Linked DNA regions of Anolis sagrei. The protein of the gene in region 1 interacts with the protein of each later gene in a pairwise test. Links are inferred from orthologs where the notes say so. Each region holds a gene or a part of one and is shown on either strand. Other genes may lie near its edges.

Region 1 (7,533 bases):
TCTAGAACATGGCCATACAGCCCGAAAACCCTAAAACAACCCAGGGTATTCAGATGGTTTTTAAATTACAAGTGTTAAAATGCTGACTTTAATATGTATGCTTTTAAAACGGATTGTGTACTTTAATTGGTATTAATGTTTTTAACTCATAAGGAGAGGTGGGCAAGAAATAATAATAAAAATGAGAATAATAATTCTGTTAAATGTTCTTGAAGTATACATATTGCCAGTTTTATAGGAAAAGTTGTATAACATTGAATGTTACAGAAATTATGCACATGCAGTGATCAATCCTGAAGCTCAGTTACCCACCAGTTTCAATGCCACACTTACAATAAGAGAATCTCAAAATACTGGGATCTGCAAAGATACATTTCAGGAAACTTTTTATCACAGGGTTGCTGTGAGTTTCGGAAGTTCCAGAAGCATTCTCTCCTGATGTTTCACCCACATCTATGGCAAGCATCCTCAGATGCTTTTTATCACCACCAACAAGCCTTTTGTAAAACGAATGGGTTTTAATAGCTCTTTCAAGAGGATAACGTTCCCAGAAACTTTGCATTACAAGAGGGACAGCTCACAACAATACAATGCTATTGGGAAAATGCATTTTATCTCCCAGCGACTTTCAGGGTTACAGCTGAGCAATCAAGAGGGAACAATGAAGGGTGGGGAAAGATGATATACTGTACTCACCCTTGCTATTCGAAAGTCCTGATACAGTGCTTTAATCCTGTTAACCCTGGTTTGTGATGACAGCTTTCCTAGCTTATATTACAGGAATGTACAAAGTTCATGCTAAAGTGGTGAAATGAGCTCCAAATGCAATTAAAATTAGGATGTCTTCTCAAGCTGTCCTCGGTAAAAGTTATATAAATAATTATTATTAAATAACTGGACAAAATTGAACAAAAGTGAGTCGAAGTGGGCATACATGTCACCCTTGAATCCAAGCCACCCACAATATGGCTATAAGCCTCTTCTCAGTAGACTTAAATCAAGGAAAACTTTCATGAGAACCACCACTCCTCTAAACATTTCTCCAGCAACAAGAAGAATGCTCTTCCTCAGTTATAACTTTTGGTAGCCTGACCATATTTTGTTGTTTGGCCATATGTGCTCTACTTTTCATCCGTGAAACATTGGGAGGATATGGTGTTATGGTCTGAGTGTTGGGCTAGGACTCCAGGAAACCAGAGTTTGAATCCCTGCTCAGCTGTAGCAATCCATTGGGTGATCTTGGGCCTCAGAGAAAGGCAAAAGCAAACTTGACCAAGAAAAATGTACAATAGAGTTGCCCAAGTAGAAACAAACCGGAAGCCATGTAACAACCTGAAAGCAAAAATATGTATATCTCAAGCTTTCTTTTCAAATGACCAAGGCACAAAAAACCTTGATGGTGTTCCATTTTGAATTACCAGGTTGTTGTTTACTTTCAAGGTGTTTCCAACTCCCTGAAAGGGAACCCACCATGGGGCTTTCCCAGCAAGAGTCATTCAGCGGGGGTTTGCCATTGTCTTCCTCGGAGGTTATACCCAAAGTGACCTAGTGGGTTTCTGTGGCGACACACAGAAAACAGAACACCACAGTGCTCCTACTTCCTGTACTTGCCCATAAATTTAGACAACAAGATGATATTTCGTGTTTTATAAATGCAAAATTAAAATTACCTGATACCAAAACAAAGAATATGAACAGAAATAAAAGAAGAACATAAAAAAGAGGATAGGTCTCCTGCAACTTAGCAAAGGTCAAGGTAAAGGTTTTCTTCTGACATTCAGTCCAGTAGTGTCCGACTCAGGGGGTTGGTGCTCGTCTCCATTTCTAAGCCGAAGAGCCGGCATTGTCCGTAGACACCTCCAAGGTCATGTGACCTGCATGACTGCATGGAGTGCGGTTACCTTCCCGCTGGAGCAGTACCTATTGACCTTTTCACATTTGCATGTTTTTGAACTGCTAGGTTGGGAGAAGCTGGGACTGACAGCAGAAGCTCATGCTGCTCCACAGATTTGAACCTGCAACCTTTCGGTCAACAAGTTTAGCAGCTCAGCAGTTTAACCCACTATGCCACTGGGGGCTCCAACATATTGCATATAAGAAGGTGCTTCAGCATGCATAACTTGCATGACAAAAACATGGGCTAAAAAATCCTGTGCAACTATTGAAGTTGCAACACTTTTGTTTTCCTTTGTATCTGTAAGCCCTATATAGCTGAAGAACCTCCTATGAAATGTATGGAGTCACCATTAATCGATGGGTGACAAACACTGTTCATTCTTGGGAGCCAAAATGAAAAATATCTCAGCAAGTATTCCAAATATACTTGTCTCATTACTGACTATATATCTATCTGTCTATATATCAATAGAAAAGTGGTGTGGGGAAGGTGGGGAAGGTAAATTGCTCATTGTAATCTTGAATATATTTTCATAATAAGATGCAAAATAAAGCCTGCCAGTTGCTGTCCATTAACAATGCTTCTCAATTCTAATCAAGACTTGATTGCACATCACAAATATGCTGCACGATGCTGTCTCTAAATCTGAATGCATTTATAAAAGTAATAATGTAAAGGCTGTAGAAATCTAAACTTATGTTCCTTTTGTTACAGGCAGTGTAGCATCCTCGTTTCTTTCCTTCCTAAAATCAAGGATACAAAGGAATAAAAATGTGGTGGTCCTGTAAGAAAGCCAGAATAAATAAACATTGGGATTAAAATTAATAGGATGTTAGTTCGTATTTTAAAAGCTGGGCTCAAATGAAATCAGAATTAGTATTGTTGGGGATTAATAATAACAACAACAACAATAATAATGATTTTGTGATATGAAATCCAGAATATATATCTCGTTTGCTGTGTCATACTGTGTTTTTGTGTCAGTGGCGTAGTGGGTTAAACCACTGAGCTGCAAAACTTGTTGACTGAAAGGTCGCAGGTTTGAATCCAGGGAGTGGCGTGAGCTTCCGCTGTCAGCCCCAGTTTCTGCCAATCTAGCAGTTCAAAAACATGCAAATGTGAGTAGATTAATAGGTACCACTCTGGCGGGAAGGTGACAGCACTCCATGCAGTCATGCCGGCCACATGATCTTGGAGGTGTCTACGGACAATGCCAGCTCTTCAGCTTAGAAATGGAGATGAGCACCAACCTCCAGAGTCGGGCATGACTGGACTTAATGTCAGGGGACAACCTTTACCTATAATAATAATAATAATACCTATAATATTTCTGGGATACAGGGTTGTCCGGAAGGGCCCTGGGTTATCTGAATCCACACAGATGTAGTGTTTACTGCCTTGATATTCTGGGATATAGGGCTGTGTGGAAGGGCCGGGTGTCTATGCTTGATCTACACTGTAGAAAGGATGCAGTTTGACACCAACTACAACTGTTGTGGCTTAATGCTATGGAAGTTGTAGCTTGGTGGGGCACCCCAGTTTTTGGCTGAGCAGGTGAGAAGCCTTGCAACACTACTAACCCCGGGATTCCATAGCAATGAGCCATGGCAGTCAAAGTGGTGTCGAACTGCATTAATTCTAGTGTAGCTAGCTACACAGTCAGAAGAACTTCCTGACTGTGAGAGCTGTTCGGCAGTGGAACTCCCTGCCCCAGAGTGTGGTGGAGGCTCCTTCTTTGAAGGCTTTTAAGCAGAGGCTGGATGGCCATCTGTCGGGGGTGCTTTGAATGCCATTTTTGTGCTTCTTGGCAGAGGGTTGGACTGGATGGCCCACGAGGTCTTTTCCAATTCTATGATTCTATGGCTCCTACAGTTCATGGCTGTGGAAAGGAGATTCCACCTGAACATTAGGAAGAACTTCCTGACTGTGAGACCTGTTCAGCAGCGGAACTCTCTGCCCTGGAGTGTGGTGGAGGCTCCTTCTTTGGAGGCTTTTGAGCAGAGGCTGGATGGCCATCTGTCAGGAGTGCTTTGAATACAATTTTCCTGCTTCTTGGCAAAAGGGGTTGGACTGGATGGCCCACGAGATCTCTTCCAACTCTGGGATTCTGTAATTCTAAGAACTTCCTGACTGTAAGAGCTGTTCAACAGTGGAACTCTCTGCCCCGGAGTGTGGTGGAGGCTCCTTTTAAACAGTGGCTGGATGGCCATCTGTCAGGGGTGCGTTGAATGCAATTTTCCGGCTTCTTGGCAGAAAGGGGTTGGACTGGTTGGCCCAGCTCTATCATTCTCTGATTCTACCCCTGAATGGGAAGAAACGACACCCATTCCCCATTGAAAGAAGTTTTCCTTCCTTTGGGATTTGCCAGGAACATAGATGTCTTTTGTTTTACAGCCTTTGCAGAAAGAAGTTGCCCCTTGCCATTCCCCCTTCTTTCCTTTTTCTTTTCTGGGTGAGTCCTGTCCCATTTCCCTCTCTCCCTTCCTCCCCCCCTCAAATGCTACAATGGTATCTCCTATTGGACGGCGGGCTCCCTGATTGATGCCTGCTTCCCATTGGAGCCGGGCGGGAGCTGACATCACTCCGGGAAAGAGGGGGGTCCGGTCCTCCCTCCCCTCCCCTCCCTCCCCTCCCTCTTTGCCTCGCCTTTGGCTGGGCGCAACTTCCATTTTAGGTGTTGGAGCCGAGCGAGGGAGGGAGGGAAGGAAGAAGGAAGGGGGAGAAGCAAAGAAAGAAAGAGAGCAAGCCAGCCAGGAGAGAAAAGTCCCGCAGGAAGAGGAGGAGGAGGAGGAGGAAGAGGAGCAGGCGGGGAGTCCTACATTACCTCCCCCCCTCCATTCCATTGTTTTTTTTCTCTCTCTTCCTTCTCTTTTAAGGAGTGGGGCGCTTTAAATTCTTTGTTAGGCAACTGCACGCGCGCGGGTCTTGCAAAGGCAAGCCCAGTCCAAGGGAAGTTGTCAAGAGAGGGAGAGGGAGCGCGAGACAACGGGAGCGCGCGCGCGCGCGAGAGAGAGCAGAGTTGGTGGCTCTCTGCGAAGAAAGGCAGCCTGGAAAACTCAAGACACACTCCTTTCTCTCTCTCTTGTTTCGAAACCTTAAGAAAGTTCCAACTCGATTCCTAAGCAGAAAAGGAAGGAAGGAAAGGAGAATAATAATTGGTCAAGGAAGACTAGAAGCAAGGAAGAGTTGGAGGAAGAGAAGGAAGCAAAGGTAAGCCAAGCGCCGAAGGGGAGGAGGGGGAAGTGCAAAGCCAACTCTGGCTGGATCTGCTCCAGCATAGAACTGCACCGGGTTGGAACTGCATTCCATGTTGAGTGTAGACCAAGGCAAGGGCAAACTTGGCCCCTCCAGGTGTTTTGGACTACAACTCCCGCAATTCCTAACAGCCGGTAGGCTGTTAGGAATTGCGGGAGTTGTAGTCCAAAACTCCTGGAGGGCCCAGGTTTGCTAAAAGGCATCAAGCTGAAATGGTATAAAGGGGGTGAAGTCTTGGCCAGCTTTTCAATAGAATCGTAAGAGTTGGAAAAGACCTCGTGGGGCATCCAGTCCAACCCCTTTCTGCCAAGAAGCAGGAAAATCACATTCAGAGCTCCCCAAACAGATGGCCATCCAGCTTCTGTTTAAAAGACTTCAAAGAAGGAGCCTCCACCACACTCCGGGGTAGAGAGTTCCACTGCTGAACAGCAGAGTGCATCTACATTGTGGAATGAATGCACTTCGAAACTACTTTCTTTGCCATGGTTCCTAAGACTGGTTGTTTCACCAAGGTCTTCACTCTTCTCTGCCAAGGAGGGCCACTCCCCAAACCTGGAGCCCCAATAGGTGGTGCCAAACTGTGTCCATTCCCCAGTGTAGATGCATGCACACAAAAGAAAGAGACGGTGCTGGTGGCTGAGCCTCCCTTTGGAGGGCGTGGGCCTCTTGGCCTCAGGCGAAGGGATGTGTGGGTCGCTCTCAGGGTCCTGGGGTGGAGCTTGGCTCACTGCATTGTGTCTTCTACCAACTTGCTTTGCGTCCCAAGCTTGGGAGTTTGGCTTAAGGTTTCTTAGAGCTGCCCCTCCTTGGTGGCCCATTGAGCTGAATGGCAAAGAGAGACCTGGCCTTAGGAGTCTCTAGTGCAGGCATGGGCCAATTTGGGCCCTCCAGGTGTTTTGGACTTCAACTCCCATCATTCCTAACAGCCTCAGGCCCCTTCCTTTTCCCCCTCGGCTGCTTAAAGGGCCTGAGTACAGGAATTGTAACAGTTGAAGTCCAAAACACCTGGAGGGCCCAAGTTCGCCTGCTCTAGTTAAAGGAGGGGTCATCTGCTGTGATTAATCTGGAGTTTATGTATCTCTTTAGTGTGTGTATGTGTATGTGTATTGCAGAATTAATGCAGTTTGACACCGCTTTAACTGCCATGGCTCAGTGCAACAGAATCCAAGGAGTTGTAGTTTGGTGTGGCACAAACATTGCATGGCAGAGAAGGCAGAAGACGCTTGTAAAACTACACATCCCACAACCCCATGACATTGGGCTGTAATGGCAGTGAAAGCCGTTTCAAATGGCATTCGATGAGCCCCTTGCAAAACTACACATCTCATGATCCCATAGCATTGGGCCATAATCCTATCGGCATTCAGTGCATCCCAGGATTGTGCCTTGAATCGTGGGAAGCCCTGGCAGCCTGGACTTATCTTGAGTCGTAGGGCCCTTCCGCAGAACCCTATATCCCAGAATATCAAGGTAGAAAATCCCACATTATCTGAGTGTGGACTCAGATAACCCAGTTCAAAGCAGATATTGTGGGATTTTCTGCCTTGATATTCTGGGATATAGTGCCGTGTGGAAAGGCCCTTATTTAGCTTCAAACATCTCTGTCCTGGAAAAGGTCCTTGTCTAGCATTCATCTGTATCTTTCTTGCCTGTGAGATCCACCCTGGATTGAGCTGTCTCTACTGATGTCCATCCAGTTTGTCTTCCTACTACCTCCCTAATGAAGGCTGTGTCTTCATTAGGGCACAGACCTGTCTTTGTTAAACTCCTGTTCAGTATGATGTGCTAATAAGGTCTGTGAATCTTTTCCCGGTGTTTGGAGGGTTAGGAGGTCCAGCTTGGTACAGAAAAAGCAGTCCCAGTTGATCCTGGATCCTATGGAAGATGTTCCTGCCAGACTAAGATACAAAGAGCAAGGGGACAATTGTCACAGCCTTTGCGTTCGTTCTACCACATAATGGTAGCAAATGGACAGAATTCCAAAAGGAGGGGAGAATTTAGAAGGCAGCTGTTGGAGGAGCCGGCTGCATTCCTGGACTGGCTCCTCCGTGCCATTTTGTGCCTTCTCTTGTTCCTCCGAGGTAGATAATGCTGTGGAATTGCGGTCATAACTCTCTCACTCTCCCAGGGCCATACCAAGCCCCTTACAAAACAGCTTGGCTGTCTCCCTCCGGAGCATGAACACAAAGGCACTTCAAAAAGGAGCAGGGGAGGGGTTTCATACCTTCGGGGTCTCACCACAGCACAGTGTGTGGTGGGCCAGTTCCGGCAGTCACCCGCCCGGCAGTATAATAATGTTTTCTGAAATGCTAGAGATTCTGCATTTCTGCCTGTGTGAAAGAAACAATCTCCTCCCTTCACACAAAGGAAGCTTGAGATTG
Region 2 (7,979 bases), on another chromosome or scaffold:
TTTTCTGCTTCCTTGGAGACTAGGACGCAATGGAACAATGGCTTCAAACTGCAAGAAAGGAGATTCCATCTGAACATGAGGAAGAACTTCCTGACTGGGAGAGCCGTTCAGCAGTGGAACTCTCTGCCCCAGAGGGAGTGTGGTGGAGGCTCCTTCTTTGGAAGCTTTTAAACAGAGGCTGGATGGCCATCTGTCAGGGGTGATTTGAATGCAATATTCCTGCTTCTTGGCAGAATGGGGTTGGACTGGATGAAGGCCCATGATGTCTCTTCCAACTCTTTGATTCTAGGATTCTATGATTCTATGAAAATTTTTACTGAGCACCTATATAGGGTCTGGAGAACAAGCCCTGTGAGGAGCGGCTTAAAGAGCTGGGCATGTTTAGCCTGAAGAAGAGAAGGCTGAGAGGAGATATGATGATAGCCATGTATAAATATGTGAGAGGAAGCCACAGGGAGGAGGAGGGAGCAAGCTTCCTTTCTGCTTCCCTGGAGACTAGGACGCAATGGAACAATGGCTTCAAACTACAAGAGAGGAGATTCCATCTGGACATGAGGAAGAACTTCCTGACTGGGAGCGCCGTTCAGCAGTGGAACTCTCTGCCCCGGAGTGTGGTGGAGGCTCCTTCTTTGGAAGCTTTTAAACAGAGGCTGTATGACCATCTGTCAGGGGTGATTTGAATGCAATATTCCTGCTTCGTGGCAGAATGGGGTTGGACTGGATGATAACCCAGGAGGTCTCTTCCCACTCTAGGATGCTAGGATTCTTTGATTCTAGGATGCGGCCTAATCCCCCCCGGAAGGCCTGCCCGGACTGGCCTCTGCCGCAGCGCCTCCTCCTGCTCCTTGCCGGCCTCTCCGTGCCACAAGCCCCGCGGAGGGAGGCCAGGCCTCGGCCGGGACCTCGACCGGGACCGCGACCTCGACCTCCGGGCTCGGCTGCTGCGCGGCGGCGAGGAAGGGCTCCGCGAGCGGGACACCGGCGCCATCGCCACGCTCCCCACACACAGGCCGCACTCGCTTCCGGGTCTCGACGCCACCAAAACAAACAGAGGCCCCGCCCACCAGGACGGAGACGTCACTTCCGGTGGAGTGGCTGGCTAGCGTCTTAAAGGGCCACCACCCACAACTATTGTAGCACAGAGAAGGAACAATGAACAAGATTTGGACTCACTGCGTTATTGTTGTTGTTCTATTATTATTATTAATAATAATAATAATTATGTACTATTATTGTAGTGTTATGCCTGTGTTATTAATACTTCTGTATTATTACTACTGTATTACTTGGACAGATACTGGTCAATGGACATTTAATCAACTACCAAACTCACAAATTTTGTATTCTGTATTTTGTCTGTTTGTTTGCTTTGTTCTTGTTAGAAATGTAATATAATGTACTGGTTGCCCTGACACGACAAATAAAAATAAATACTACTGTATTATTATTACTTCTGTTTTATCATTATTGTAATTACTGTATTATTAGTACTTCTGTATCATTGCTATTATTTCTGTATTGTTGCTATTGTAGTATTACTGTGTTATTATTACTTCTGTATTATTGCTATTACTTTATTATTACTGTGTTATTATTACTTCTGTATTACTGCTATTACTGCATTATTACTATATTATTATTACTTCTATATTATTATATATTGCGATTTGAATGCAATATTCCTGCTTCTTGGCAGAATAGGGTTGGACTGGATGGCCCATGAGGTCTCTTCCAACTCTTTGATTCTATGATTCTATGATTCTAATATATACTGTATTATTGCTATTACTTCTGTATTGCTGCTATTGTAGTGTTATTACTGTATTATTATTACTTCTATATTTTGCTATTATTGCATTATTGTTGCTTCTGTATTTTTGCTATTGTACTGTTATTACTGTATTATTAGTACTTCTGTATTATTATTGTAGTGTTAATATTGTATTATTAGTACTTCTGTATTATTGCTATTACTGTATTATTAGTACTTCTGTATTATTACTATTGTAGTGTTACTGCTATTGTAGTTATTGTATTATTATTTCTTCTGTATTATCACTATTACTGCATTATTACTATATTATTATTACTATATTATTATTTCTTCTGTATTATTGCTATTACTGTATTATTACTGTATTATTAGTTGTTCTGTATTATTGCTATTGCAGTGTTATTAATGTATTATTAGTACTTCTGCGTTATTACTATTGTAGTATTATTACTGTATTATTAGGAATTCTGTATTATTGTTATTGTATTGTTATGGTTGGGGAATCTGAGCTGTTAGGCTCCAAAATAACCCTCAGTTAGGGCAATGCCACCAAAATATAGCAGAGTACCAGGAGTAAATTCCATAGCCAGCAGAAACTTACGTGTGATGAGCAGGAAGAGCCTCTTAACCTTTAGGAAGGCAGAAGGATTGCAGAGACAATGTTTAGTTTCAAGATATTTATTAAATAAAAAGAAATACATTCTTGACAGAAAAGTCTTGGAGTAAACTAACTTGCTAAATCTCATCTTCTAAAGAAGGCAAAAAGTAATTCATTCAATGCAGCTACGTCCCTCCAAAACTGGCAGGAAGACACGTATCTACCCTGCTCTATGCAGGCGATGCATTGATACTATCCAGAACTCAAGTAGGCCTGAAAAGAGCCTTGAGAGCCCTAACAAAATATTGTAATGAAGAACAGCTTCATCTTAATAATAATAAAAAAACAAATTATGGTGTTTGCGAAACGACCCAAGCATCATACCTGGAGACTAGACGGACACAATATTGAACAGGTCTCAAGCTTTAAATACCTGGGAGTATTCTATCACTGCACTGGAAACAAGAAAGTACATGTGGATTACGTAGCAGACGCAGTGCAAAAGAGCTCATATGCTATCCTAAAGTTTCTCAAAACAGGAGGAGGCCACTTTGGAACACCCTCCCCAAAGACATTAGACTAGCACCCACGTTGGTAGTCTTTAGGAAGAACTTGAAGACCTGGCTATTCCGATGTGCCTTTCCTGAATAGGATAACCTCCAGCACTACGTCCCAGAAGCACTATTAGAGCTTAAGACTCTCTGCACATTGCACTTGCCCAGAATCCCAACATATCACCTCTTACACCCAGCACTTTTTTAACCTGTACCCTTCATTGGCCCGACCCTGGTTTTATTGTGTAATAGTGTAATGTTTTGTTGTTGTTATTGCTTATGTTTTTAATTTGCTTGCATTGTATTGTTATTGTCTGTTGTTGTTGTTTGAGGCCTTGGCCTTTGTAAGCCGCATCGAGTCCTTCGGGAGATGCTAGCAGGGTACAAATAAAGTTTAATAATAATAATAATACATACATACATACCAGCAGCACTTAAGCTCTTTGAGGCAAAACCAATAGCACAAATGATGTATGGAGCCCAACTCGGTCCCTTCTCAAACTATGCCCCTCTGGCGCAGGTACAATCAAAATTCCTAAGATGAGCGATGCAGATCCCCAGATGTGTCTCAAACGCCACCCTGCGACTAGAGACAGGCCTCGTGAGAGTGGGGGCGAGAGTGTGGACAGCCACCCTCAATTACCGGCTGCATCTGTCTCTCTCAACATGTGGCCTTGCTCCGTTAACTCTGAGAGATGAATTTCAGTCTACATGGAATAAGGCAGTGGCCATCAAAATCACAACTCTAGGCTTCTCTCAAGGACAACTGCTAGGTGTGGGATGGGACCAATCCAAGGCTCTTATGAGACAACGGATCCTGGATAGAGAGCGACAATGAGCCTGCTCTCCAGCATTCACCATTAGCGAAGGTAACAGATATCTCCTCGCTCCCAGGGCTTACTTAGCAAACCTGGAGGGGTTTCACTTTGGCAAGATGCCATGCCCTTCCATCGGCAGTACTGGAGGGGAGGTACAGGAAGACCCCTGCCCAGGAGAGACTTTGCCTGTGTGAGTCTGGCTACATTGAAACAACTGAACATGTGCTCCTCCAATGTGTGTTCTATAGAGACATTAGAGCTAATTTCATCACTCCGTGGCTTTTAAAACATCCAGGGCACACTGAAAGATATTACACCTCCCTGTTGTTCTCGGACTCTTGCTCTGCAACAACCTACAGTGTTGCCAAGTTCTGTGCAGCAGCAATTAACATGAGACGGCTGATGACCGACTCCACCAGGCAACTTCCTGCCGGGAATATAGTTAGAATGATTTGCAATAACTGAAATGCTGTAAATGCTCCCCTCTCATCCCTTTTTAGAGCTTCCCAGTTGTCTGATATTTGCATTAGCCGCCCCACTATTTTAGATTCATACATGCACTTTAAACTGTAAGTTTAGTCTGCTTTTTAATCTGTCTCTTTTATAACATGCTTTTAAACTGCTTTTTATCTGACCTACTTGGGAACTACGATTCCCTTCCTTGGGCTCTTGTGCCCCATTCTGTTCTGTGCTGATCAAAGACCGTAATAAATCATTCATTGATTGATAGATAATGCAGCTACATTTTGCCTACAGAGAGGCAAAATGCGTCCTCGCTGGAAGAAAGACAAAAGAGGAGGTCACATGGCGGAGACTGCCTAGCCTTCCTGGGGCAATTTAAACTTAAAAGGCAGTTGCTGAATTCCATTACTGTGCCATCAAAGTGGGGAGGAGGCAGTGGCCAGCAGTAAAGACAAGGCCCTTTGAAAATATGCACAGGAATGTGGGGAAAGGAATCCCTGAGCTTGGCCCTGTTTCTAGGCCAGCTACTCATTAAGGACTAGAAACTTGATGCAACAAAGACTTTTGAAACCCAACAATTAGTACTTCTGCAATATCACTGTATTATTGTTGTGGTGATCAACTTCTGCTCGTTCACTCTTCTCTTTCCTATCTCTAGAGTTCAGCCCAGGTGTCACACAAATCTTCCTCCCCCGCAGCCTCCAATGGGTGCGTTCCTTATTGCTGTCCGTGCGGCAAAGGGGGGCGGTCCTTAACGTTCCGGGAGGCCGTCCCTTTGTGAGGCAGCTTCCGAAAGCGGGAAGCGCGAGGATGGAGCCCGGCGCCATGAAGGAGGCGGGAAGCGAGGCTCCCGGTGAGAGGAAACCCTTCCCTAGATTAGTTTGGATGCAGCTACACTTTAGAATGAACCCAGTTTGATACCGCTTTAACTTCTAGGGCTTAATCCTACGGGGTCCTGGGATTGGTAGCCTGGCTAGGCCCCTGCATTCTTTGGAAAGGACCCTGCGAAACTCTGGCCCCGTCTGCACTGCCATATAAAATCCAGATTATCTGCTTTGAACTGGATTATATAGCAGTGTAAACTTTGATAATCCAGTTCAAAGCAGATAATGTGGATTCTTTGCTTTGATCAGGATTATATGGCAGTGTAGACTCAGATAATCCAGTTCAAAGCACATAATGTGGATTCTTTGCTTTGATCAGGATTATATGGCAGTTTAGACTCAGATAATCCAGTTCAAAGTGGATCATGTGGATTCTTTCCTTTGATAATCTGGATTATCAAAGCAAAGAAAGGGCCTTGCTCATTCTGGATCTACACTGCCACATAATCGAGCATCTGATCCCAGATTATTAATTTCCTTTAACTGCCTTTAATTATGGATCTATTCTGCTATATCGTCCAGATTTTATCAAAGCAGACTATCTGCTTTGAAGTGGATGATAAAGAGTCTACACAGCCCTATAATCCAGATTATCAAATCAGATAATCTGGGATCAGAAACTGGAATATGTGGCAATGTAGATGGGGCCTCATTCTTAACTTCGTACAAATGTTTAGGCCCCTTCTGCACAGCCATATGAAATCCATATTATCTGCTTTGAACTGGATTATATTGCAGTGTAGACTTGGAGATTATCTGCTTTCATAATCTTAGATTATATGCCAATGTAGAAAGGGTCTTATTCCTATTGTAAGAGTTAACTTTTACCAGTTCTGCACTGCACACACATTTAAATGTGTTGTGAAGGGGTGGTTTCAATGGGCAGGTTACACTATATGTGCCTTATTTATTTTTTGCTTCCCAAATGTTTGTTAAACTTGAAGCAAACAGGTCAATTCAAACTAAATCAATATCTCCAAAGAAGGAGATTCTGGCTTGCTGGTAACAGCCTGCATAATGGATTGGATCCTTGGAGATAGGTTGCAACCTGACCAAGAAATGTTGTGTTTTGATCTAACGTTATCATGGGTTTGGGGCAGGTGTGTTCACTTTTCAGCTGGAAAAGATGCAGTTTGCACGAAGATGATGAGATGCATGAGATGACATGTCTGTACTTTAGGCAACTATGGGCTGCCTTGATTTGAAATGAGCTGTTGCTTTTATCGATTCCGACCTACAGAGAGTCGATCGCAAATTTTTCCTGGCAAAACTTGATCAGGGAAAAAAGAAACGCTTTGCCATTGCTTTCCTCTGGATGTGACAAGGTTTCTGCGTCCAACTCTGGTCTCCACGGTGCTTAAACAACAACACATCTTAGGCCCCATCTACACTGAAATATAATCCAGTTTCTGAATCTAGACTATCTGTTTTGAACTACATTATAGGGCAGTGTTGACCCAGCCTTTGAAGGACAGTATTGTGCATGTTAGGATACCATCCTCTTGGAACAATAGTAAGTAAAATAAAAGGAACTAGCGGTGGAGTCAAACAGTGTGGGGAAATCAGATCTGATATTTTTCTCTTTAAAGGGGATACAAATAAAAAAGGAATACTGGAACTATGTGTCCCAATAGACAAGTATTTCCGGTATTTCTGATGGTAGAGAAAGTACAAGCAAGTGCGGTCTTGCTTTTGTTATTCCCCCCCCCCCCCACCCTCCAGTTCTGTAGGCTGGATCTACAGAACTATATAATTCAGATCATCAGTCAAATAATCCAGTTTATCTGATTTGAACGGGGTTATATGAGGGCCCTTCCACACAGCCTATATTCCTGGAATATCAAGGCAGAAAATCCCATAGTATCTGCTTTGAACTGGGTTATTTGAGTCCATACTCAGACAATGTGGGATTTTCTGCCTTGATATTCTGGGATATAGGGTTGTGTGTAAGCGCACTGAGTTTGGACTCAGATAAGGCTAATAGAGGAGTTGTGGACCAAAACATTGGAGGATCAGTGAAAGCTCAGTGGATGGCATTAGATGAGTCATATTCTGGTGTTGTTGAAGGCTTTCATGGCTGGAATCACTGGGTTGCTGTATGTTTTCTAGGCTGTATAACCATGTTCCAGAAGCAGGAGATAATGATTCTGGAATATGGCCTTACAGCCCGGAAAACTCACAGCAACCCAGTCATATTCTTCTTGAATAATTCATAAAGTTTTGGGGATAATACAAGGTGGAAAAAAAGTGCTACCTACACCTCATGCTCTGCTATTGGAAGGCCAATGCAAGCTTCCTAAAAAGTTCTTGCAGTGTGTATTCGAGGTGTTGATTGTGTTTGAGTTGTTGATGCTCTTTCAGGGAAAGCAGGGAAAGTACAAGAGCAATTGCTGCCATTTCAGATGAATGGGCGTTAATGGGCTGCTGTTTCCATGTGAAAGGGAAATGGCAATTGCTGCCTTTTCAGGCGGATAGGTCTTTAGCTGCCCAACTCTAACAGAGGGATTTATTTTTAATGGCTCTGTGAGATCGCACCTTATAAACCCAGGGCAGAATAGTTTTAGAGTGATGCTGCAGAGTGATTTTAAAAGGTGAGAAGTCCTTTACGTCAAAATATGTTTGGTCAAAATGCCATCTTGAGGCCAAGCTGGTGCAATTTAGGAACTAAATCAGCAGCTTTGTGGACAAAAGGTTAATCTTAGAGATACTAAGGAACTGTGGGAGTTGAAGTCCAAAACACTTGGAGGGCCAAGTTGGCCCATGCCTGCTCTAGAGCAAAAACATAGAAGGAATGGCTTGTATTCCAGTGTGGTTTTGGTTCAGTGGCACCCATTGATAGGGCAGGTAACAAATAGTCTTGTTGTTTGTTTGTTTATTTATTTGCAACAT

The links.
Region 2: the proteins of CTNND1 (region 1) and ZBTB33 interact in binary tests that used the Homo sapiens proteins (3 or more experiments, as listed by UniProt). The link is inferred for Anolis sagrei from reciprocal best matches to the Homo sapiens genes CTNND1 and ZBTB33.

What each region holds. Positions count from the first base shown.
Region 1 is NC_090021.1:234,377,212-234,384,744, forward strand, and holds the start of CTNND1 (catenin delta-1), read left to right. Parts: upstream 1-4,517; 5' UTR 4,518-5,107; intron 5,108-7,533. UniProt on the Homo sapiens protein: Key regulator of cell-cell adhesion that associates with and regulates the cell adhesion properties of both C-, E- and N-cadherins, being critical for their surface stability.
Region 2 is NC_090030.1:3,275,092-3,283,070, forward strand, and holds the start of ZBTB33 (transcriptional regulator Kaiso), read left to right. Parts: upstream 1-4,961; 5' UTR 4,962-5,016; coding exon 5,017-5,059; intron 5,060-7,979. Other genes in the region: NKAP (NF-kappa-B-activating protein), read right to left, coding at 819-988. UniProt on the Homo sapiens protein: Transcriptional regulator with bimodal DNA-binding specificity.